Linked DNA regions of Nothobranchius furzeri. The protein of the gene in region 2 interacts with the protein of the main gene of each other region in a pairwise test. Links are inferred from orthologs where the notes say so. Each region holds a gene or a part of one and is shown on either strand. Other genes may lie near its edges. The genes, in order: nucleoporin p54, ift20, washc3, traf3ip1, exoc7 and kxd1.

Evidence for each region.
Region 1: the proteins of ift20 (region 2) and nucleoporin p54 interact in binary tests that used the Homo sapiens proteins (3 or more experiments, as listed by UniProt). The two-hybrid records come from large-scale screens. The link is inferred for Nothobranchius furzeri from reciprocal best matches to the Homo sapiens genes IFT20 and NUP54.
Region 3: the proteins of ift20 (region 2) and washc3 interact in binary tests that used the Homo sapiens proteins (3 or more experiments, as listed by UniProt). The two-hybrid records come from large-scale screens. The link is inferred for Nothobranchius furzeri from reciprocal best matches to the Homo sapiens genes IFT20 and WASHC3.
Region 4: the proteins of ift20 (region 2) and traf3ip1 interact in a two-hybrid assay, tested with the Homo sapiens proteins (2 studies listed by IntAct). The link is inferred for Nothobranchius furzeri from reciprocal best matches to the Homo sapiens genes IFT20 and TRAF3IP1.
Region 5: the proteins of ift20 (region 2) and exoc7 interact in binary tests that used the Homo sapiens proteins (3 or more experiments, as listed by UniProt). The two-hybrid records come from large-scale screens. The link is inferred for Nothobranchius furzeri from reciprocal best matches to the Homo sapiens genes IFT20 and EXOC7.
Region 6: the proteins of ift20 (region 2) and kxd1 interact in binary tests that used the Homo sapiens proteins (3 or more experiments, as listed by UniProt). The two-hybrid records come from large-scale screens. The link is inferred for Nothobranchius furzeri from reciprocal best matches to the Homo sapiens genes IFT20 and KXD1.

The regions. Positions count from the first base shown.
Region 1 is NC_091746.1:59,725,120-59,729,100, forward strand, and holds the start of nucleoporin p54, read left to right. Parts: upstream 1-1,181; 5' UTR 1,182-1,394; coding exon 1,395-1,437; intron 1,438-1,852; coding exon 1,853-1,960; intron 1,961-2,108; coding exon 2,109-2,189; intron 2,190-2,337; coding exon 2,338-2,502; intron 2,503-2,866; coding exon 2,867-2,953; intron 2,954-3,870; coding exon 3,871-3,981. UniProt on the Homo sapiens protein: Component of the nuclear pore complex, a complex required for the trafficking across the nuclear membrane.
Region 2 is NC_091753.1:22,422,731-22,426,761, forward strand, and holds ift20 (intraflagellar transport protein 20 homolog), read right to left. Parts: upstream 2,801-4,031; 5' UTR 2,524-2,800; intron 2,092-2,523; 5' UTR 2,082-2,091; coding exon 1,955-2,081; intron 1,841-1,954; coding exon 1,755-1,840; intron 1,623-1,754; coding exon 1,519-1,622; intron 995-1,518; coding exon 913-994; 3' UTR 327-912; downstream 1-326. UniProt on the Homo sapiens protein: Part of intraflagellar transport (IFT) particles involved in ciliary process assembly. May play a role in the trafficking of ciliary membrane proteins from the Golgi complex to the cilium.
Region 3 is NC_091741.1:43,372,339-43,376,487, reverse strand, and holds the start of washc3 (WASH complex subunit 3), read left to right. Parts: upstream 1-1,349; 5' UTR 1,350-1,484; coding exon 1,485-1,535; intron 1,536-3,031; coding exon 3,032-3,130; intron 3,131-3,232; coding exon 3,233-3,298; intron 3,299-3,370; coding exon 3,371-3,508; intron 3,509-4,149. Other genes in the region: uncharacterized protein, read right to left, coding at 51-253, 974-1,007. UniProt on the Homo sapiens protein: Acts as a component of the WASH core complex that functions as a nucleation-promoting factor (NPF) at the surface of endosomes, where it recruits and activates the Arp2/3 complex to induce actin polymerization, playing a key role in the fission of tubules that serve as transport intermediates during endosome sorting.
Region 4 is NC_091754.1:2,499,749-2,503,852, forward strand, and holds the start of traf3ip1 (TRAF3-interacting protein 1), read right to left. Parts: upstream 2,801-4,104; 5' UTR 2,702-2,800; coding exon 2,579-2,701; intron 1,025-2,578; coding exon 956-1,024; intron 334-955; coding exon 172-333; intron 1-171. Other genes in the region: agr1 (anterior gradient 1), read left to right, coding at 2,801-2,896, 3,376-3,479, 3,911-4,047.
Region 5 is NC_091756.1:53,828,735-53,832,234, forward strand, and holds part of exoc7 (exocyst complex component 7), read right to left. Parts: intron 2,725-3,500; coding exon 2,502-2,724; intron 2,063-2,501; coding exon 1,895-2,062; intron 1,262-1,894; coding exon 1,250-1,261; intron 1-1,249. UniProt on the Homo sapiens protein: Component of the exocyst complex involved in the docking of exocytic vesicles with fusion sites on the plasma membrane.
Region 6 is NC_091744.1:73,270,766-73,274,960, reverse strand, and holds the start of kxd1 (kxDL motif-containing protein 1), read right to left. Parts: upstream 2,801-4,195; 5' UTR 2,653-2,800; intron 2,459-2,652; 5' UTR 2,446-2,458; coding exon 2,348-2,445; intron 2,208-2,347; coding exon 2,055-2,207; intron 1,977-2,054; coding exon 1,930-1,976; intron 442-1,929; coding exon 179-441; 3' UTR 1-178.

The DNA.
Region 1 (3,981 bases), on a different chromosome or scaffold from region 2:
ATTGATTGTTACTGCTACAAACACGTGTCCTGAGTGTCTGCTTGCTATGAAATGTTGCATCTTGTTGTTTTTACTCTGTACACAAAATAAAAAAGTAGTTTCAGTAGTTCTGTGTTTGCCTCTGAGTTTGGTGAATAAGATGTGAGTGCAGAGGGAATTAAAATACAGGAGATTAGCTGCAGACACGGGAGCAAGGATGAAACCTCCAAAATCTGTAACTTTGACAAGCGTTACGATAAGTTTCAAGTTTACATAATATTCTATTCGTTTTTATTTGTAAATATCTTTGCCATACTTGCATAGCAGCAGCAAATATAAATTCACCCATACATGGACTTAGTTTTTTTTTTGGAGGGGGGAGGGGGAAGATGTCCCCCCACTTTTTCAAAAGTCAATTTTTGTCCCCTGCACTTTTTACCATCCACAAACAATATTACGCTACATTAAATTGGCACTGGTTGAGCACTAGGACCAAGCGGAAAACACCTGCTTGTGTTGAAGCCTGTTTCTCGTTAGAACTGTCTATAAGCTCATCTGTTGGCTCTACTAATACTTGAAAAGATGGCAAGCTATATAAATGAATGAGTCTTGTCTTTTGTAAAACAATTCAGAATATTTTTTATTTCATGTGTGTATGTTTGCATTCATGTAATAGCCCAGAAATCTAGATCGACTGTAGCACAAGCAAAAGGATATAGGGTGGCTTGCTAATTCTTTTGTACTCAAACTAAACTCATGAATGATTCTGTGTTACCAAAGGTAATTTATAATAAAATGTATGTATAGTTTGTATGGATAATAATAATAATAATAATAATAATAATAATAATAATATACGGTTCATGGCTCTTCAAGGACTAATAAACCTCAAAAGCTTCTAATAATTGGAGATTCCCTTTATATTATTTAGAATGTAAGCACTTCCTCTAATACTTTATTTTCTTGTGCTTATTTTTATGTATGCTCATTCATTGAAATATGACTGTTTTCTTTTTTCGAACATAATAGCTCGTCGTGTTTTTATTTGTACTATAAAGTTGATCAAATTAAAGCTGAACAATGTTAAAATCCGGACACTAGGTGGCGGAAGAGCGTTGCTTTGTTGAAGTATGAACAGTCTATGAGTATGAACGATGTGTTGAGAAATACAGAAACGATTAGACTAACTCTAGTTTCAGCGCCTTTGGCTTCCTGACAGGGTCGTGGAAGGCGCTTTATAATTAAAGCTTTGATTGATTGATTATGTAGGAAAACGCACACATGTGTACTAACCAGTCCACACTCCGTGCCAGTTGGTGGCAGTAATGTGGCACGACGTTGGTCGCCAACTGGCATAAAACATCAAACAGGAGAAGAAGAAAAGAAGCGACGAAGAAGAACTGACATTCGCCAACATGGCGTTTAGTTTTGGCGGCGCCACGAGCAATACAGAAGCAAGTATGGACTTTAGTTACCTCTACTTTGTATTCTTTCTCTTAGCGAAAGCTGTGTCGGATATGTGTCATAAACCAGACGCCACAAGGATATGAACGCATTACTAGCATATGTAGTTAGTACGTGTCGCAAGCTAACTGCTGTTGAAGCATCATGTAATCTCACAATCCGGCCAATGCAGCAAACTTCAGTGGGTTGTGTTCCACGTTTTAAGTTAAAGTCATAACTAGTTTGTTACGTATTCAGATGCGGGACAGATTACTTGGTCATCTACCTTTAGCAGTAAAGCCTCCCCATGTTAGCGTCATGCTACGAATCAGCTACTAGTTAGCTACTGTATGAAGTTTTCAGAAAAGCATCGAAGGATACAGTAGAGATGTAATCCAACATTTAAAGACTCGTTTATGTTCTTTTAAAGGCGCGCCCGGGTTCTCATTCGGCGCATTTGGTGCCAAGACGACGGCATCAACCACGTTTGGATTCAACCCCACGGCCACCACGACCACCGCTTCTTCAGGGTTTGGCAGTAAGTCACGCTCCTGACCCACATTCAAGAGGTCTTCTGTGTTTTGTTTTGGCTTTCATTCGTGTGTGTGTGTGTGTGTGTGTGTGTGTGTGTGTGTGTGTGTGTGTGTGTGTGTGTGTGTGTGTGTGTGTGTGTGTGTGTGAAAAAGCTCTAACAGCTCCTGGTTTTGGGACTGTCACCTCCACTTCTGCACCCGCTACAGGATTTAGCTTTGGCTCCACCAACACGGGTAGGACAAACATTAGTTTTAAAGCGCGTTTCATTCGTTTTGTTGATTTTTAGACGATTAACTCACTGAAGAGCTGGTGCCAAATGTAGCATTGTGTCATTTAACTCCGTGTTACTTTCTTCTTGCTGCCTGCCTGCTTCGGCTACAGGATTTGGGGGGCTTGGAGCTGGAAGCACCATGGCTGGCGGGTTTAGTTTTGGGGGGTTTGGTTTAAATGCCAACCCAGCAGCAATCAGCTTTAATGCAGGGTGCTTTGGTACAGCAACCACTACTGGCACTATTTTCAATTTTGGTAATAGCCTGACTAGCACAGGTAGATGATCTCTGTGATCGAGTTCATTTTGTGTTTGCAAAAATCGTTTGTGTCCACCTCCATGTGATGCAGTGTTTTTCTTTCTCCATCTCACCTGGTGACTCTTATACATCTATGTTCTGAAGTTTCACTGTTTTTGCATGAAAGACTGTGTTAAACTATGCTCTCATCTTGTGTGATGATGAATGTGGACATTCAGTACATTTTTTGCAGAACATCATGTTTGATGGATGTCATTTGATCATTGCCAGAAATACTTTTCTGCTACTCACCATGCACCCAGTGATTTCCAACTCTTGTTCTCTCATCTCCTTTCCCTTTAACTCCTTTCATTGGAGGGATTATTCTTTGATTTCCTTTCCAGGTACATTTGGTGGCTTTGGGGCAACGACAACAACAGCTGCTGCACCGGGGTCCACTTTCAGCTTTACTACCCCCTCCAATACAACAGGTTAGTAACAGAGTAACCTCTGTGAGTACACATTTAGAGCAAAATAAATATTAAAGCTGTGCGTGGCGACATTAGGAAGAATTTGGACTAACTTGAATATAAAAAATATATATTGATGGAACCACCCCCCAGCTTTACATGTTACTCTGAAGGTGCTGGTGAATACTGCTACTAGTAGTCAAAGTGGTGATTGACCGTTAGAGGTCTCATGCCTTTACAAGATATTTTTACTGAGACCCTGCTGATTCTCCAGAGCAGGTTAGGTTTCCAGTTTGGGAATTGCATGAGATGACACTTCTCGTCTGCTAATCAGTAATGGTGAGCAGATTCACCATTTAATCAATCGATTGCACTGTGACACTTGCCAATTCAATAACAATTTATAAATATATAAAAAAAATATATAATGAAATGCCTAAAAACAGCTGCTAAGCACGGCAGGAACATAAAAGTTGCACGTACCATTCGTACACTTTAGGGGACGGACCAGCGGAAATGTAATAAACAGCAGTAGAGAGCCTAAGCCACGCCCATTTACTTCCAGTCCGGTCTACTTCCAGCGTGTGAATGACTGTTCTTCGTGGAAGCACTTTCGAGTCCTCTGACACAGAAATGCCAATTACCATTTCAGTTTATTTACTATAAAATCACAAATGAATGTTTAAGAACATGTGTAAGATGCAGGTGATGTCCTATTAACACCAGTTCAAGTTACTATTTTATCCCAAATAAACAACCAAAACAGCAGGTTCTATGATGCTATATTCTTGTTCTAGCATGAACACTGAGCTGCTACAAGATGTCTCACTTTACCAAAACACGGGGCTCTCCTTGTTGCTGTGTTCCTTCTGCAGAGCTGACAGCATCTTTTCTTTTTTGGGTTTTAATTTGTTGCTTTTGAATGCGTTTTGTCTTAGGAGGCCTGTTTGGGAACACAGCCAACAAAGGGTTTGGATTCCCAGCAGGACTGGGAACCGGTACCGCTACTGGAACATCAGGGTTTGGAACTGGATTAGGAGCAACTGGAT
Region 2 (4,031 bases):
TTCCCTCTTTCCTATTCTCTCTTTACATTTTTAATCACAATTGTCTGTTTTTGCTGATTTTTAATCATTTTCTAAATTCTTTTACATTTTTTGTGAAGCGCCTCGTGATTTTTATCTTGAGGCACTTTAGAACAGATCTTTTCTTATTCTTCTAACAGCATGGGAACTAGCCTGGCAAGCCAGACTAAATAATCGTATTACTTATATTATTTGTTTGCACAATTCATTTATTATTTATTTGCAAACTTTGCAAAGCAAGAATTTGGTCTAGTTCACTAGGCTCCATGGGAACACCTCTGAGGAGTAAACAGCTCTCAGATTTAAAGCAACTTTTTGTTCTGTAGGTAAAAAAAAAAGAAAATCCTGGGAGTTTTACTAAAACCAAACATACATGTGAGATTAACCCACCAACCATCAAGACAGATTTATTCAATACACAGTATTCAAGTAAAACATCTGTAGGAATCTAAGAAAAGCTTGTGTTTATATCCGCAGGTCGGCTAGAACGGGCTTTCATAACAAGGAAACGTTTGAAACTTGCTAACAATCACATGCAGAATTCATGACAGTTCATAGAAAAAGTTACAAAACTAGATATACAGATTAATTTTCATCATGAAAAGTATTAATAATGCTGCTTCATATAAATAGATCTACATTTTTCTGTTGGACTTTGATATAGACACATCTGATGTTGAGCATTCAGCATGGCTGCTTTGATGTGTTGCAGACACACACACACACACACGCACACACGTCTGAGATCGGCGCCGCAGAAACGGGTGTTGAGGTTTCCTGATGACACTGAAGCTGGGTTTCAGATGACGAAGCTCCAGTAGGAGTGACTTAAAATGACAATCACTCTGGAAAGGCACTCAGAGGCTGAATGTATCGTTCTTTATTCGTGTTCTCTCACTTCTGCAGAATAAACTGGTCGATGAACTCGTTCTGTTCAGACTCCACTTTGGACAGGGCTTCGTACTCGATGCGATACCTGAAACACAACAGCAGCTCACAGGACGGGACCGACAGTTAGAACTTGGGGTAAATATGAAGGTCCACTTCACTACAGCTGACTCCCAGCACAATACTCCAGACCCCCATTCCTCTGCTGCTCCTGCCTCAGCTTCGCCGAGGAACAAATAAATAAAACAAGGCAGTAGAAAAAAGCCTTTTCAAGAACAACTGAATTAAGTAAAACACTGTGTGCTCCTGAAGCCTGTTCCATTTTATTACTAATGTTACATAAACAGGGCTTTTTACTGAGTTTGAGGCACAAATTTGATTATAGCATACAAAGTGGAACTAAAAAAAACTTCCTTCAGTCCTTCAAAATAATAGTCTCATCATTTACCTTAAAACATCTGAAGGTTAAAAACTATATTTTTCTACAAAACAAAAAAGTTCATCACTAAAGTATTTTAAAAGTACCCTTATAGGTGTTTATTGTTCTGAAGGTCACGTGTCCCTAAAGGGTCATGCTAACCCATCTGACACACGTGCACCGCGCTACTTTACCTCTCCAACTGCATCTTCTTCTCAGTGATCAGGGCCTGAAGCTGCTGCTGCTGGGCTTCTCTTTGTTTTGCCACAGACTTCAGCAAGTTTCTGGCTCCAATCGCCTACAGGACAGGATGATGAGTAATAAGTTCTGCTTACACATGATTAGAGCATAAACCCGATACCACTAAAAGTTTCACAGAATCAGGAGAGAAAACAGGGACATACAAAGCTGCTTTCTGTGTCAGACTTACCTTCATCTTCTCCGTTTCTGCTTCTTTTGCCAGTTCGTCCACCAGCTCGATTAGACCACCCACGGTCTTCTGAAACTGTCCAATTTCTGCAACAGAGGAGACAATTTTGCACACACTGTTGAGGCTGGTGATGATGAAAGGGAATAAATAGTTGGAAAAGTGTGGGGGTGGGGATGAGGACGTAAAATCTCCATGCTTACTGTCTACAAAGTCCTTGCACTCTTCTTTAAGCTCTGACGTCTTGTGGCTGACATCAGGCTCTAGCACCCGCAGCTTGTTCAGGTCATCAAAATAAAACCCTGCCTCTGCGAGTGGGTCTTTAGCCATGGCCAGAGGCCTGTCATCAACGACAGATGCAACTTAGTTTAGTAATATCAGATAGTTTGTAGGATAATATACCTAACAGGTAACACCCCATTATCATCATAATACACACAAGAGCAGGTTCAAAACAAACAGAAGTAAAACACATTATTTTACTAAAGATGTTCAAGTGCAAACCTTTCGGTAAAGCAGGATTCCTTCTACTCTAGTGCTTAAATTAACAGCACCTTAAATTAACCTCGGCTGAATGAAAGTTCATGTGTCACCAAATGAAAGATTATGCTTTTATTTTGTTTCGGTCATGTTAAGAACTCCCCAGCTAGATGATTTAAGTTAGCTAGCATAGCTAGATGTTTCAAAAATGCCACAAATTGTTTTCTGTCACCACTTCATAATAGATGACCAGTTTTTATGAAGATAAGAAACACAAATGTGTATGTTTTACCTGTTACAGTCGTGAGCTGATAGGCTTTATCCCGTGTGATGTGGCAGAGCAGATGAACTAGCAGCTAAGCTCCTCCTGTCGCTGCCAAGGAAACCAAACAGCTACAGCTGTGTCGGGGTCTTTGGGGGTGGTCGTTTTCCCCTATCCTTCTTAATTATCATAACAAAACTATTCACTGTTTCGTTACAACGCTGTCCCCTATGTTTTTTCCGTTTGAATACTTTACCGGTGTGTTACGTCAACATGAGTTCCTCTAGGGTGGGTGGAGGACTCGTATCGAGGTAACACCGGAGAACGGGAGTGACATGTTTATCGTAATGTTTTTAGAACTGTGACCAAGTCAGTCGCTCAGTGACATAAATGATCTAAAATTTAAATCTAAAAAAAAAAATTAAATAAAAAAAAAGCCCAACTATATGTTGTTTCTCTTATCTACTGTGGGTGTTCCACCCCAATGCGGAAGGTGACGGTAATGAACCGAAAAAGCAGTTCGCTAACAGCCATTCCAGAAAAAGAACAAGAAACGGATACGTCTGTTTTGTTTTCTTTCTTTTTTAAAATCATTTAAAACTCCATTTGTTTATTGTTGTTGTAAATATTACTTAAAATCATAAAAAAGAGGACGGTGAGTAACTAAAGCTTACAGACTCATACCGTGTTTAGGATCAACTGTAGGATCCAGTTTGGCCATTTTTTACTTTTCCTTAGTTTATTGAAGTTTTACCTCGTGATCACGAATATTCAGGAGTTAGTTTTCCGTTTACTAGAAATGCATTTAATGCAAACAGCGATATCGTTTCAGTGCGTTCAGCTTCTAATATTTGATCTGTTGTTTATCTGCTTTTCTGAGTTTTTGGCTAATGTTAGCGGGACATGCTAACAAGATACAGTAAAACGAATAAACATACAGCATAAAAGCTTTAGTTTCCACTGACCTGTGCTATTCTGAACTGAAACTGTATATCAGAGTTAACACGCATGTGAAACTAAATATTGTGTTTACACGGAGTTTAGTTATCATCACCTAACCTAACTGTTACTGGGCCCCAAACTATTTTTTTATCGGAATTTTTTAGCAGCCACACAACTTTAACCAGAAAGCAGCAGCTTCCATCTTAAGCTAAACTGATTGTTTTGGGACAAGAGTAAATGAAAAACTCCCTACTGGAGCCTCATAGGTGTTTTGGATCTGTTGGACTTCAGATAAACTGGTGCACCATCTATCTGAGACGGAAACAGGAAGTACACAGTACGATGTCCTCTGAAAATGACTACAACCGCATTACCAAATAATCTCTCAAAAATAAACATTAAACTTTGACGTATTCGTTTAAATAACAACTAAGGTATTTTATCAAGTGCTTTTAACTGAGAATGATACAAATAGTTATGAATCACAGGAGCTATTAGATGTTTAAAGTGTAACAGAAAGAGAATTTTAAAGTGTTTGGTTGTTTTATTAAACACTTTGTGTTCTTTAAGGTTCAAACACCTCCTGTAGACCATGT
Region 3 (4,149 bases), on a different chromosome or scaffold from region 2:
CTGAGACACCAAAACAAGAACGTTTGCATGTGAAACAAAACACCATTCACCCTGGCCTTCAATCCGAGAAGGAGATGCGCTCTCTGTCTGTGGTTGATCAAACCAGGAACTGCTTCTGTCAGCATGGACACAAACTCCTGCAGCTTCCCATAGTTCATCACATCTTTCCCCTTCATCAGATTCCACATAGCAGCAGACAGAAGATGCAAGGGAGGCACCAGGAGGCGAAAGGAGGGCAAAGGGAAGTTTGGGTCTGAAACATTAATGTGTAAAGTCAGAAATGACCGATGGAGGGCAGTAACACACCCCCTAATTCAGAGAGCATTCAGAGTACTTGCAGGAAACAGCAGGTGGATAAAATTTTCACGATGTGATTTTGCAAAGTTCTCACATTTTACACATAACTGAAACAGTTATTGGCTTCATACAGATAATTAAAAACAATCAAGCAATAAAACAATCACGTGATCTGTTACATTGTTGTCTGTCATTTGCTTGCTTGCTTGCTAAAGTCACTGAGACCAGTCAGTGACTGGATGCAGTTTGCTGGGTTCCTTATATAGGAAACTTTTTTTCCTGATTGGCTTAATGAACTGACCTGTATTGGAATGTTAACTATGTGAAGTGCCTCGAGACGACTCTTGTCGTGATTTGGCGCTGTATAAATAAACTTGAATTGAATTTGAGCTACAGGCTTTTGAACTGGAGAAAATCCTGGACAGATCTTTAACATTTTAGATACACAATCTGGAAAATGTCCACAGATGTTACTCAAAAGCTTCGCAACTTAGTTAAAACAATATATCGCGTAAGAGTGTCTGTACATTTAACAGCAAGCTAACTTCCACTGCGCAACAACAACAGTCTGCCAAATAATGAACATTGTGGTTCCTTTAAATAGACAGAGCCCACTGATAGTAAAACAAACACGTCTCCAGAAAATATCAGAAAGGCAAACTGGTAACATACATACCCTCCATTTTTTCTTTTGATTCCACAACTTCCATTAAAGCATCCCACCAAGTGAATTTGAGGAATCTGTGTATATTTGTGCTGTTTGTTTTGGTGGCTAATGCGCTATTAGAGCGCAAGCATCGCTTCCTCAAGTATTCACTCAAGTTTCCGCTTTTCAAAATATATGTCTGAAAGACGTGTTTTGGTGTTTTCTAATGAATTTCAGAATGCTATTATTTTCAAGTTCTTTTTTACTTCAAAGCCAATGACTAGATAAAGAAAAAGTTTAGAAAATTTCGACAGCTCGAAATATAAAAGTGTGAATTCGAGTGCATTGATGCCTCTTCAAAATAAAAGTTAATCATTTCCTTTTCCTAGAGTGACGTAATCACGTAGCCAGTCACACTGCTCAGTGTCACGTGAAGCCTTCAACGGTGTAAATGTTTTGTTTCATGTCATTTTTTCTTTCAAATTTCGTGCCATTAGACCTGAAACCACATTCCTATTCACAGGAAGTGTAAAACGCTAACATGGACGAGGACGGCCTGCCGTTAGTCGGGTCAGGAGTCGATCTTACGAAGGTTTGTGTTTCTAACTGGTTAGCTAACACTGAAAACCTGAGAACCCAAAGCTATGTTTGTGCTTTTTAACAAAATATATAATCACTAATGCAGAGAAAACTGTGGCCTTTTTCTAACTAATTTCACCTACTTGTAACTGTTTGCCTAGTCATTTTCCTTTTGGTTTGTTCTAAAGAAGTATCAAAAGAGGAAAGAACGTTTTCTCTCCGAACACTGATGTTCTATTTGAATACATCATTCATTAGATTCTATTACCGGTGTTGTGCCGAAAAGAGCTTGTCTGCGAAAATGTGCATCCCCTGCGGGAAGGCGCGTATGAGACCGCTTTTTAATAAATGTGTACAACATGAGCTGCATCCTTCCTTACAAAATGATGGTTTATGAGCAAATAAGTAAAATAAACTACTGTTTATAACATGTTTTATTTTAAGTAATATAATGCACATATAAAAGGTTAGTCATTTTGAGTCTGCTTTTTTAAACCAACAAAATTGTTTAATACTTGCTAAAACATTAGTGTCAAACGTGTTGAAAAAGGTCAATTATTTAATCATTATTTCATCATATTTGTAGTCAAAAACAAAATCTTTTCAGGAGAAACACGGATTAGAAACGTGTTCAAATTCTGAATTGCTCATAATTCAAATTCTTCTTCAATTTGCGTCTTTCGACGGGGATACACATTTCGGTAGGCGTGCTCTTTTCGGCACAACACCTGATATACAGTAGTCTGTTATTCCAAATGTTTTTCCTCCACACCGATTTGCATCCATTATATGCAAAGTCAGACATGTGGGTAGAGTAGCCAGAGATTATACTCAAATAAGAGTAGCATTACTTTCATATATGTTTACTTGAGTAGTTAAAAAAAAGTACAAAAACTGTGTTTGCAAAAAAGCTGCTCAAATAATGAGTAATCATAACAGCTCCTTTAATTTATAAAATCCATTCAAACAGATAATAGTATAATGTTATATGATAAATTATATAATGTAAAGACTTAATTAAAATGTTGCATTTCTTTTTCCTAAAAATACTCAAGTAAATATAATTAGTAACTACCCAACACAGAAAATCAGATTTGATAGTTTTCATCATTCTTTTTGCCATTAGCATTTTGTTTGATGCAAGACTTTAAAGGTAGAACTCAGCTGCTTTTAAAATTCTCTCAAATACTTGAAACTTTGCAATAATCCACAGGTTACTGTATGTTATTGTGTTGTTTAAATAACACTGCTAACACATGACCCTGGTCTGTTTATGTAGATGTTGTTTATTCTCCCTGGTGTTAATTGTTGTTTTGTACTGCTTTGTTTCAATAAAGATTTACAAAAAACATTTTAACAGCAGTAGTTAAAAGTCATTTTAGAATCCCCTCAATATTATTTAAAGCCATAACATTCAAAAATCAATTATACTAGAGGTTTATGTTTAGTAAAATAAACTATAGTAACACTTGGTAAGTTTTTAATTATACTGCTTTTATCTTTTCTCAGGTTCCTGCAATACAGCAGAGACGAATCGTTGGATTTCTCAACCAGTTTGTTGTGCACACCGTACGATTTCTTAACCAGTTTTCCACCGTGTGTGAAGAGGTTTGTGTTTGTTTGTTTGTTTTTTACTCCTTAATGCTTCTTCTGCCTCAGAATATGAACTCAAATTATGTATTTATTTATTTTTTTTACTTCTCTTCACAGAAACTTGCAAACATTTCTCTTCGCATACAGCAGATTGAAACCACACTCAGCATTTTAGAGGCTAAGGTAACTTGTGAGACCTTGATACCGTTTCTGGATGTTGTCTTTTCACTTATGCAGTGACATTGTTCTGAGCAGCTGTCCTCTATTCCTGGACTGGAGGACGTCACAGTAGAGGGCCTCAACCAACAGCAGGCCTCCCACACTAAAGGACCCAGTACTATCGGTCAGAACCTAACTAACGGTGTAGCAGCAGGACCACCTTCTTCCTCAGAGGTAGGAGTTCAGACCCACCTGCAACAGACATGCAGGTTCAATCGGCCACGATGAATGCCAAAACAGTCTTTGTGTCTTTTTTCTTGTTTGGGAGTCTGTGATGCCAAAAATCGGCAGTTGAACTTTTCTTTTTAAGTCGGAATGTAGATTGTCATCAGCTCTTTGGTCGATGCAACAAGTAGAAACCTGCCGTCAACGCAACTGTTGTTTTGTTTTCTTTTGGAGTTTACGTACAAAAAAGGCTCAACATTCCCCTCCTGTTGTAAAGGATAGACTTTTAGTTTTGAGAACCTTCAAAGAAGTATGTTTGTTACTGGCTGCTTTGTTTGCATAGTGATCGGATTGGATTTTGATTGTCCTCCTCACACTCTGACAGGATTGTAAAATCCTATCCAGAAGTGTGACGTTACATATTTACAGTGAGAAAGGTGGAAAACCTTCAGGGCAGATTTCCTGAGTCTGCAGCACAGAGTTCAGGCCGAGGTCAGTAAACAAGCCATCACTTTTGGTTAAAACAGTGCACCAGGTCAGCTCAAACACCTCCTGTCCTCTGTAAAGCACGGTGGCAGGGGGCTGATGATTTGGGCTTATTTCTGCAGTGACTGAGTCAAACATGAACTCCTCTTTACACCAAAGTGGTC
Region 4 (4,104 bases), on a different chromosome or scaffold from region 2:
GAGTGTGAGTGTGTGTGTGTGTGTGTGTGTGTGCGTGCGCGCGCGTGTGTGTGTGTGTGTGTGTGTGTGTGTGTGTGTGTGTGTGTGTGTGAGTGTGAGTGCATGTGTGTGTGTGTGTGTGTGTGTGTGCGTGCGTGTGTGTGTGCGCGCGCGTGTGTGTGTGATGCAGACCTTATTGAGGCAGCACTTGCCGATGGCCTGAAGCAGCTCGTTGGTTTTCTCCGGCTCATGGCCGGCAACGATCCGTGCGGGCTTGGCCGCCAGAGGCTCGCCGGTCACCAGCATCACGACATCTATCGCTTTCTGAAGAAAGGTTATTTTTGAGTCCTTTTCCTAGAATGAGATATAATGAAAAAAGCCGTTACCGAGACAAAAACATTTAAAATATAAACTGATTAAAGGCAAAATCTAAATAAAATTGGTTCCATACCAAAAAGAAATGATGACATCATTTGTTTTGTGCAAAAGCAGGTCAGTAAACTGATAAACCAAAGACCAGGAGGACTTGTTGGTCAAACTGACTTCTCTGCACTCCTGACAGCTGAAGTGATGAAACTGAAATATGAATCTTACCCCCAGAGTGACTGGGTTTAACCGCTTGTTACCTCGTTGTTCGAGGGAGGAAATGTAAAACACAACACTAACAACTCATTTCTCTCACTAGTAAGAAACGGGCAGCGTGCAGCTACGTTTGTAAGCAGAGAAGACTCGGTGTAGCTCTCTTTCATTCAGTCCTAATCAAGGATCGCCTTGCAAATAGCAGACTAGCATTCTGACACCTCGACAAACACTCAGTCTCTGCCTGCCAGATCTTCTAGCTCACAGTGTTGCCAGACGGCGTATCTGGTGACTCAGGCTGCCCAGTGAAAACACACGGGGGTAATCCTGAACAAATTAGTCTTTTCAGGGGAAAAAAAGGTCAAAAATCAAGTAAATATAGCAAGAGTAAGCTTACCTTTACACTATCTGACTTCATTTCATTTTCTCCATAGAGGCCTTTCAAAAAACCAGTGCTCCTGATTACCTTAGAGTCAAGAGGAAAATAAAGGTTTACTGTTATTATACAAATATTATAGGTGCTTCTGCAAAACCTACATCATTCTAATACAAGTTAACACAAAATGTTTTTGATTTTATGGAAGCAAGCTTAAAGCAGACTTATGGCTGCAAAATGTTTTAATTTTCAATCAAGTATGTCTTAAACAACTGAATTCCTTTAGTCAGATAAAAGAATATTGCTATAGGAATGCTAACCTCAATTAATTATAAATAAAGCTAGAGTGAAACATAAAACCATCCAACCAGTGTGGTGAGAGAATAAGATCTCAGTTCTGTTTAGAAAATAGATTTAGTCTCTAATCTGTTAAAGAAAAGAGTTAAAATATGAGTTTAATTGTAAAAAAAACATGCTTTTAAAGAAAATATTTTTAAAATTACATTATATATTATGTATTATTTAGTTCATGCAGTTATATACATTTTGCTAATATATCCTGTTTGTGAATACCCGTTCTGCTTTCTTAAGCATGTACACAAACACAAATGTACGATTTTATTTTTTACACAAACATGAGCAGAAAAAGGGTTTAACACAAGAAGCTGACGTCATATTGTTCTACACACATCACACACACAGATGCTCAGTTATGGGAAGAATAATAACCTAAATAATTTAGGTAAATAATGAAAACACACTTTTTCTGCACAAATACTCATTCAGTTAGGAAATGCTCGTCAGTCAAAAATAAATCAGGAAAACAGCAGAGTGGCTCATCAAAATAAGAGCATCTAATGATGCCCCAAACACAAACAGTACGACAGACTGCACTCTACAATATATTATGATTCTAATTCTTGTGTAGATACATTATTCAAATAAATAGTATTTTAAACCGGTTTTTGGTTATTTAAAATCTTAAATATTCTAAATTTTCCTTATTCAGAAAACGTCAGTTGCCAGAAGATAACAGGAAAATGTTTGATGTACAAAATATGTTGCCTTTGTGTTTTACCCTCGTTCTGCCATTTCTACTTAGACAAGAGTAAGTTTTGTCTTAAGAAGGGACAATCATTGAAATAATAATACTTTTTGACATTTACACTGTCATTATTTGGAGCTGATACTACAAATAAAATACAAATTTTAATATTTATCCAGACCTACGACTTACACTGGTGAATCCTACGTTTGTAAACATCTAACATCTAGATGTCGATCAAATGTTGCTGTACATTAAATACAAAAAGGCAGAACTTATGCATCCAACAAGACAGCTGTGGTCAGCTGCTCGGCAGCAGGTGTGAAGCAAGTACAACCTAAACATGTACAGTCATAATAATGAACGTTAGCAGCTGCTTGTCTTTAACGCGTGTTCGCTCTGGGTGCTGAAGAGGAGAAATGCAGTGATACCGCTTTTGAACAGCTGCGGTTAAGCTAACTCGCTCCTGGTGAGGGTTGTCCGGTTAGAGCTATCCCTTTCATGGACACAGATAATAAAGCACACGCAAGGGCTTCATATACAGTTTTTAACTTTATAAAATGTCTTTAAACGTAACTGTTGTCCTTAGTCGGTCTCACCTCACTGATGATGTCGTGAAGGTAACGAAACGGCGGTTTGTTTAGCAGTTTTTCCGTTAACGGCGGCTTCTTTATGACTTTCCCCAGCGTGTCCTGAGTCCTCTTCACCACCGCTGCGTTCATGGCGGCAGATGAAATCCCAACTGAACAATTTAGCTGCTAGAAAAGGGGCGAAAACTGGTCTAAAACACGAATGCTAGGCGGCTCTGGGGCTCCGTTGCTATGTCAATATCCAACAATCCCACAGTGCACCGCGAACGAAAGCTGCGCATGCGCCATAGGCTTTCGGTTGCTAGGTGTTCTGTGTCCATAGCAACGGTAGCTAGCTATGTAGAAAGAAACGAAATAAGGAAAACGATCGTGTATACAGCGCATCTCCAGATAAAAACCACGACGTGCTTCACAAGAACAAAAATAAATAAAGATTAGGCCGACAGACAGACAGACAGATGATAGATAGATAGATAGATAGATAGATAGATAGATAGATAGATAGATAGATAGATAGATAGATAGATAGATAGATAGATAGATAGATAGATAGATACCTAAATTTTATTGTTTTTATTATTGTTTCCTTATTCACAACAACACTTAATTTCCATCTGGGATTAATGAAGCATTTTCTAACTGGATTTATTAAACAAGCACTAATACTACATTTAGAGTCAGTGTTTCAAAGAATTTTATTTATGAAAGTATGAATTATGAAATCGTATGAAGGTGTGCCCAAACTTCCCATGCATGCAAATATGTCTCATATAAGTCATAGACCTTTCTTTGTGTTTCATTTAAAGCAGGATGCTTGTTTTACCCGTTTGGCAAGTTCGGTTAAAAGTCTGACAAAAGGTAAGGTGAGAAGAACAGCTCAAACAGACGCTTGCTGCTTCACGCTGGACAGGTAAGACATCCACTACGAGTGACTTCAGTAGCCAAAAATCAGAAAATTCAGATTCAGTTTCAGCTGGAAAGTTGTTCGCTGCTCTTCAGAATAGAAATGTAATGCTTAAACCATTTAATGCTACGTAAGGGCTTGCAAAGTTACATGCTGTTTCTTTCAAAAAGAAAAAAAGGTACAATAGTTCATTGGATTGAGATTAAATAAGAAGCTGCATTAATACATTAAGACTCATTCCTATTTTGATTACAGTAAACAGCTGTGATGATGTCATCCATAATAAAATAAAATATAAAAATAATAGTAACATAAAACAAGCTTCCTTCGCGGCATCATCGCGCCGGCCTGTCAGACTTGTTTGGTGACTCAGAGCTGAAGCCCTTCAGTGAGCTCTGCGGGTGTAAGAGTTCAAAAAATGCTTTGTGCTTTAAAAGTGCACGCCTTATTCAGCTGTCTGGTTCTCCAGAGGACGAGGAGATGCTTCACTGGGCTGTGTTTGCTCTGCTGATCGGCGCTTGTGCCGCTGCAGAAGAACAGAAGAAGAAGGAGAAGGCTCCATCTCTGTCAAAAGGTGGGTCGCTCTCATTCAGCCTCCATGTTTCTGATCATTCATCAGTCAGATTGACCG
Region 5 (3,500 bases), on a different chromosome or scaffold from region 2:
CAGGAAGTAAGTCTGGAAAGTTGCTCCTTTCACTCAGGATTTTGCTAATCAAATGTTTTTTGAGACGTTTGCATTAAATGTGAGTTAATTCAACAACAGGCTGCTAAACAACTGACATTCTGTTACGTTTAAGCAATGTACTTTTTATCAAGACTTCATCACAGCTTGACTAGGAATAAACAATAGTTAGAAACGCTTCTGAACCGCCTTGACACACAAACCTCTTCACCAGTACATGTCAAGAACTGGTTCCTGATTTAAACTACAACAACCAATCTAGACAAACTGAAACCCTCCACAGCAGAAGACCTTTACCCCCAAATTCCACTACCTCCGCTCCGCTCCGACACGAACGCCGGAGCAAAATCGGTCCCGTTGTAGTCAATCAGAGCAATTCCACTACTGCGGCCGTGCTCCAGCAGTGCGGCGCCGTGCGCCGCCCTCTGTTCCGGCGTCCGGCAAAAATAGAATCGATCCTATTTTTGCCGGACGCCGGAGCACCTCCGCATTAAATGGACAGAAATCACAACCGCCCAACAGGAAAAGGAGCAAGCACAACTTCCGTTTTTCACAATAAATCGATAAACAAAAGGCGTTTTTTGTTTCATATGCACAGGTTTAACAACTTTTAACAACTATCAATGGCAGCTGAAGTTTAAATGCACAAAAGTAAGCCATAAATACAGTTTCTACTGTCAAAGTAGTCACACTTTGTTGATCCAAACACTGCTGATCTCTCAACACAAATGATGGGCAGATTAAGCAGTTCTTGTCGATGCTTCTCCCACACAACGGGTGTTTGGATCTAAACTTCCGCGTTTATTGCTCGGACTGTATCGCAAGATCTCGAAAATCCTGCGCACGCTTGTTTGCCCACCTCAGGTCTCCGCACCGGAGCGGAGCCGTTGTAGAGCGGGTACCAAGAAAAATTGAGTTCGGAAGCGAGCGGCTGCGGAAGGCGGGGACGGACCGGAGCGGAGGTAGTGGAATTTGGGGGTTAGGGATCCCGTCTCCGTAAAGTGAGCCGGAACTCCAGGGTGTTTGTCTGGAACAGCAACGAGCCTCATTACTTTTAATCAGCTTCACCTTTTCGGTATGAGACATTTTCCACACCATGAAGCTAAAGGCCTTCACGCTGAAAACGACCTGTCAGACACAGCTGAGCGAAAACCGAACTGACATGGAGGCGAAGCGTGGCGTCAGGCGGACAGCAGGAAGCACAGTGCTCACACTGAAGCTTTGCATTTACCTGGGATGTAGACTGATGTCATCGGAACACAGGGATTATGAAGAGGAAAGGATGAAGGATGGTTAGAACATTTAAAACCAGGTCCCATGTTGTCGTTCTTTTTCAAACACAGAACCAGTTTTGTTTACCTGTTTTGTAGCTACGTTTCGCCGACGGCTGCCGGCTTCTTCAGGCTGACGCTGATGGTGGCGCGTCACTTCCTTCTCCGTTTATCTGCGGGCAGCAGAGGATGTTGTCGCCCTCTACTGCCCGCTCTCCCCTCTCCGACGATGCAGTCCCGTGCGTGGTCCAGCGCAGCCCGCAGATAAACGGAGAAGGAAGTGACGCGCCACCATCAGCGTCAGCCTGAAGAAGCCGGCAGCCGTCGGCGAAACGTAGCTACAAAACAGGTAAACTAAACTGGTTCTGTGTTTTAAAAAGAACGACAACATGGAATTAGAAATAACGCACAGCAAGAACACACCTAAGATATTTAAAACCAGAGACAGGATCTCTGAAGCTCAGGGAGTCTCTGACAAATCCTCAGAGGACCGTGGCTGGATGGAAATCAGATTCTGACATCTAACAGGTTCGGACTTGTTTGCTGGGTCCAGCTAAAGGCGTAAAGGTCATGAAGACAAAAGCTCAGAGGAATCTGCTGCTGACCTGGTCTCTTTGGAATCTTTTTGGTGGGCGTGTCCTTCCGTTTGGTTTGGACAGCAGGAGAGTAGAGGATCCCAGAGGAGGCACTGTTCTTACGGAAGTGGTCCTTCAGGCCTTTGATGGAGCGATCCAGCTGACTGGACCTGATCTGGTAGTAGACGTTCATGAAATCTGAAGACAGGAGAAGAAGAGATGGTTCGGGAGAGAAGTGTCTAAATACCTCACAGTCTGACAACACTTAGCTCAGAGATAATGGGCTTCTATAAGGGGAAAAGTATTTTCTGTATTTTAACTATTTCAGCTAATAATGATTCCACCATGGTCTCCTCCTGGTCCCGACATGGCCCACACCTACCGGTGGTTATGGACTACAACCTGAACCACCTCCTATTGCATGATGATTACCCTGGAAGCTGTGATTAATGAACCATAAAAGAAAATCAACCTTCAGGAACAGCTGGTGTGTAAAATCTGCCCAGAGACTGAAGACAATTTGTTGGACTTATGGAACCAAAACAATGATGAGGACTCCACAGGTTTAACCCAAAAAGTTTTAGGACCAAATATTCATAAATAGTGAGACGTAAGACACCTCTAAAACTAGTCATACCCTGGTTGCGTCCATATTCCACCAGCCAGCTGGCGATGCAGATGATATCCTGGAGGACAGCCTCAGGCAGGTGCTCTAGCAACACCTCCTCCTGCAGCTCCATGTCTTCATCAACACTGATAACGTCCAGGATGAGAATTGGGGGGACGGGTTTACTGTAGCGGTTCAGAAGGCTCCGAAATTCGGCCTCCAGCAGCTCTTTACCCTTCTCAAAACGAGCTTTCTGCAGAAATAATATCCAAGCTGTTATCTCGTAATGAACAAGTTAAAGGTACCATTATGTGATTTACTGTCAATATTAAGCTTTGCTTCGACTCTTAGCTCTGACCATTACATCCTCTGTACCCTGCCCTAGTCAATTTGTGCAAACAGTAAAACGGTGGTTCTCAAAGTTGGGGTCGCGACCTTACTGTGGGTCGTGAAACACCAAGTTTGTGGTCCTGAAATGGGCCCCAAAAACCCAATTAAATGTAAAATAAATAAATAATTTAAATACTAATAGTTGTTTTCATGTAAATTATTACAAATGACTAAAATGATAGATGGTTACTGTTATTTATATTGTCACTATGTTCTTGTTCAGTCGTTTTATTGATGTTTTCACTTGAACAGGTAATAATGGGAGTGGAAAGTCACTGCTGGTGTTAAATTGTAAATAAAGTAAGAAATAAATTGCTTCCAAAAGAAATCTGTTTATTGTTCAAACAAAGAGAAGGTGGGTATAACTTAAGAGGGAAATTGAATTTAAAAATACAAAGTGCTAGAACAACTTTAAAAACTAGGTCAATTGCAATTGCAGGAGTTAAATTATGGAACAGTCCAACAGAAGAGATAAAAGAAAGTAAAAACAAACCAGTTTAAAGTAAAATATAAAAACCTAATTTTAAATAAGTATAAGAATGAAGAAAACAGGGTTAACCCAGGACGGTAATGTGGCTGGTCATGCTGTTGTGCTTCTTTTTCGGTGTTTTTTTTTTCTTTTTTCTTTTTTTCTCCATA
Region 6 (4,195 bases), on a different chromosome or scaffold from region 2:
GAAAAATCAGTTTTTTCCTACAGAGTTTGTAGAGTTTGTGATCTTTAACAGATTAATAACAAGATAACAACAATTACAGAGGCCCGTGCTCACTGAAATACACAGCATTACCTGCTGCTCAATGACTTACTTTGAAGCCGTTTCGAGTGACTAAAATCTTTTTTGCAAATTGTTCACTCTATTCTTCATGTACAGAGTCAGGACCCTCATCTTGCAGAACTCCTGTCTCTAAGCCATCAGACGTTGGTGTGTCGGTAGGCTCCTGAGAGAGATCTTCTGAGCATCGGCTGACGGCGGGTGAAACCACATCGGGGCTTGTGTCACAGGAATCGGTGCTTTGCTCCGAGGTGGCCGCTGTGATTGTCGTGGCAAAACTTGGAGGTACTGGGTCAAATTCTTCATCATTATCATCATCATCCAAAATAGGTGACTCATGGACATCTGTCAAGTAAAAACCCGGATTTATTGAAATGGCTGTTGGAGATTTAGAAGAACAATGTTTTCTAAAAACTTTTCAACACAAACAAACTCCCTGTACCACCCAGAACTGCGCTGCTCTGTGTGGCTGCATGTTGGAGTAGCTCTGTTGACTATATGTAAGTTTTGCCTTTTCTTGGGCATTTTTTCTTCTAGTTTCTCAAGAAAAACTGTATTTTTTTTGGACACTTTACTTTTCTGTTTCTGGTGCTGTGAAGCTTGGAGGATTTTTACAGCTATTTTTTAGCTTTTTTCACTTTTTGAGCTTTGTTATGATGTGTAACCATGGCAACACACTGTTTACATTCGGGAGCAGCTGATTAACATTGGAAAGGCTGAAATAATACCTCAACTGAAGCCACAAATCCCAAATGAGCTAAAACGCAAGAAGCGTGGGTGCAGAGCGGGAGCAAAATGGAGACAGAGAAAGAGGAAATTCAAACCATCTCCTCCATCAATCATAATGGGCAATGTGAGATCACTGGCCAACACGATGGAGGAACTCCAAGCCCTTTCAAGGACTCAGCCAGAGTTTCGGCAGTTTCAGAGCCACTGGAGGAGATAATGCAAAGAAGGAATCTCCAGGAATCTCCAGAGAATCAAGAAAATGATGGACAACCCTGAGCATTCTCTTCACAAGACTGTCCGACAACAGAAGAGTGTCTTCAGTCAGAGGCTTCTTCAGTTTCGCTGCAACACTGACCGCTACTGGAGATCCTTCCTGCCAACAGCCATTGTAATATACAATAACTCTTTGATGACTTGATTATTATTATTATTCTGAGCTACTACAGCAATCAATTTCCCTCTGTGATTATGTTTATATTTATGTATTTAGCAGACGCTTTTGTCCAAAGCGACTTACAAGTGATAATCGGCATGTTGCCCTTGAGGCTAACAACAACAATAACAACAACTTGACATCAATCATGAAGAGGAAGGAACAAAGGAGTGGACAGTAGAGAGGGGGGACGGGTGCAGGGAAGGTGCTAGTTAAGAAGATGCTCTCTGAAGAGCAGGGTCTTCAGGAGTTTCTTGAAAATTGAAAAGCAAGCCCCTATTCTGGTAGTGCTTGGACAGCAGCTTCCTTTTCAATTTTCAAGAAACTCCTGAAGACCCCGCTCTTCAGAGAGCATCTTCTTAACTAGCACCTTCCCTGCACCCATCCCCCCTCTCTACCATGATGATTAATAAAGTAGTTGTGAATTGAATAGAAATCAAATTAGTTTCAATGTTTGTAACAATACTGTTTTATTGTATTTAGAAATAAATAAATCTACTACTTGATGCCAGAAAAACACTTTTAAAAGGCCATAAAAGAAGTAAATAAAAACAGAAATGTTAATAATTTATGCAGGTAACACTTACTGATTTCATTGATTGAAATCAACAGACTAATGAACTCATTACAAGTTGAGAATTGTTTTGGATAATAAGCAAATGTTAACTTACTGCTGAAAGCATCAGGGTATTGTTTAGAAATCTTCCCTTTTAATGTCCTGGAGGAAACAAAAGGAGATCAGTTATTAGAGGTTGGGCTGTGCGTCCCTGTTTGTGCAGGCAGAGTAATGACTAACCTGATTCTTCTGAAGATGCTATCCAGATCCTTCTTCATCTCAACCAGGGTGCGGGTGTGGTGCAGGAAGCGCTCGTTCATCTGCTGCAGTCGCACGTTTGACAGTCCATTAAAGTTGATCAGCATTTCATTGGTTTTCTCAAAGCGATCGAGCCTGATGAAACAAAGATTAGGCAGAAAATAACTATCATAATAGAAAAAAGGCAGAAACGTTACAACTGACATAAAAAAACAACTCAAATTTTTACACACAGTGTAATCAGGCCTCACAGACAAGAACAGCCTGATACTCACATGTGTCTTTGAGCTTGGATGATGGCATTCACATCTTCAGAGTTAACCATGCTCAGGATCCTGTTACAGAACACACTGGAGGCTGTGGGCTCCACCATGACGACGAAAAACCTGCATTTTCATAAACGAAACAACACGCACCAAATCAGGCATGGCAATACTTAAAGTTCTCTACAAATATTACGAGAGAAAAATGTTGCAAATCCACTAATCCAAATAATCGGCTGTTTTATTCACATCCGAGCGGTTTTTCTGCGCTAAAGGTAATACTACGTGAAAAATAAAGGAATAATATTATCATTTACCTCAACAGGTGTTGTTATCAACCTTGGTTTTCAACAGAACACTACATTTGACAGGCAAATTAAACAAAAACAAAACACTTCCGTGTATTTCTGTTTCTTCTGTTTACATGACTGTTTCTGGTTCATTTTCTTCTTCGGCGGGTATCTTTCAACTTTTGCGACTCATTGCCGCCACCTGCTGTATAATGGTGCACACAACTGGTCATTTTCTGGCATTTTCTAGCTCTTTCTGGGGGTGTTCTTGACTTTTCTAACCCCATTGAACTTTCTGGACTCTGGCCTTTTTTTTTTTTAGTTATAAATCCATCCACCAACATATTACCGTGAATTCGTTAAACAATTCATTTGAAATTGAGAGATATATTCAGTTATTTAGTCATCAAGTCAAGATGAATCTGTACAGTTCTATTTAACTTTATAAATACCAATTTAACATTTCATAAAACATGCTGATTTCCTCTTTTTGCCACATTTAGCTTTAACATTAATGTCCATTCTGCTTCTATCTTTGTTTTTGTTTTGTGTTTTTCCAACAAATCCGTAATTTTCAATTAGAAAATTCTCAAAAACATAAAACTGCTGAGCTGAGTTATTGAAAAGCTGTGATTGAAAAACAGATTTTGGTTGGCCTTCTAAGATTGAAAACGCCCTATATCCATTTCATATTAAATTTGTCTTGGGTTTTAAAAATGTAAAAACAAAAACAAATTTAAAAACTAAAATATCTTTATCTTTTTCCGGAATTGCGCCACTGTGGCTGCATATTGGAGTAGCTCTGTTGACTATATGTACGTTTTGCCTTTTCTTGGGCATTTTTTCTTCTAGTTTCTCAAGAAAAACTGTATTTTTTTGGACACTTTACTTTTCTGTTTCTGGTGCTGTGAAGCTTGGAGGATTTTTACTGCTATTTTTTTTTTTAGCATTTTTCACTTTTTGAGCATTTGTTATGATGCGTAACCATGGCAACGAGCTGTTTACAATCAGGAGCAGCTGATTAACATGGGAAAGGCTGAAATAATACCTCAACTGAAGCCACAAATCCCAAATGAACTAAAACGCAAGAAGCGTGGGTGCAGAGCGTGAGCAAAACGGAGACAGAGAAAGAGGAAATTCAAACCATCTCTTCCATCGATCATAATGGCCATTGTTAGATCACTGGCCAACACGATGGAGGAACTCCAAGCCCTTTCAAGGACTCAGCCAGGACTCCGCTAGAGGAGATAAAGCAAAGAAGGAATCTCCAGGAATCTCCAGAGAATCAAGAAAATGATGGACAACCCTGAGCATTCTCTTCACAAGACTGTCCGACAACGGAAGAGTGTCTTCAGTCAGAGGCTTCTTCAGTTTCACTGCAACACTGACCGCTACTGGAGATCCTTCCTGCCAACAGCCATTGTAATATACAATAACTCTTTGATGACTTGATTATTATTATTATCATTCTGAGCTACTACAGCAATCAATTTCCCTCTGGGATTAATGAAGTATTTTTGAATTGAATTGAAAAAGTAAAAATAATTTATTTTTTACATTCTAAATATCT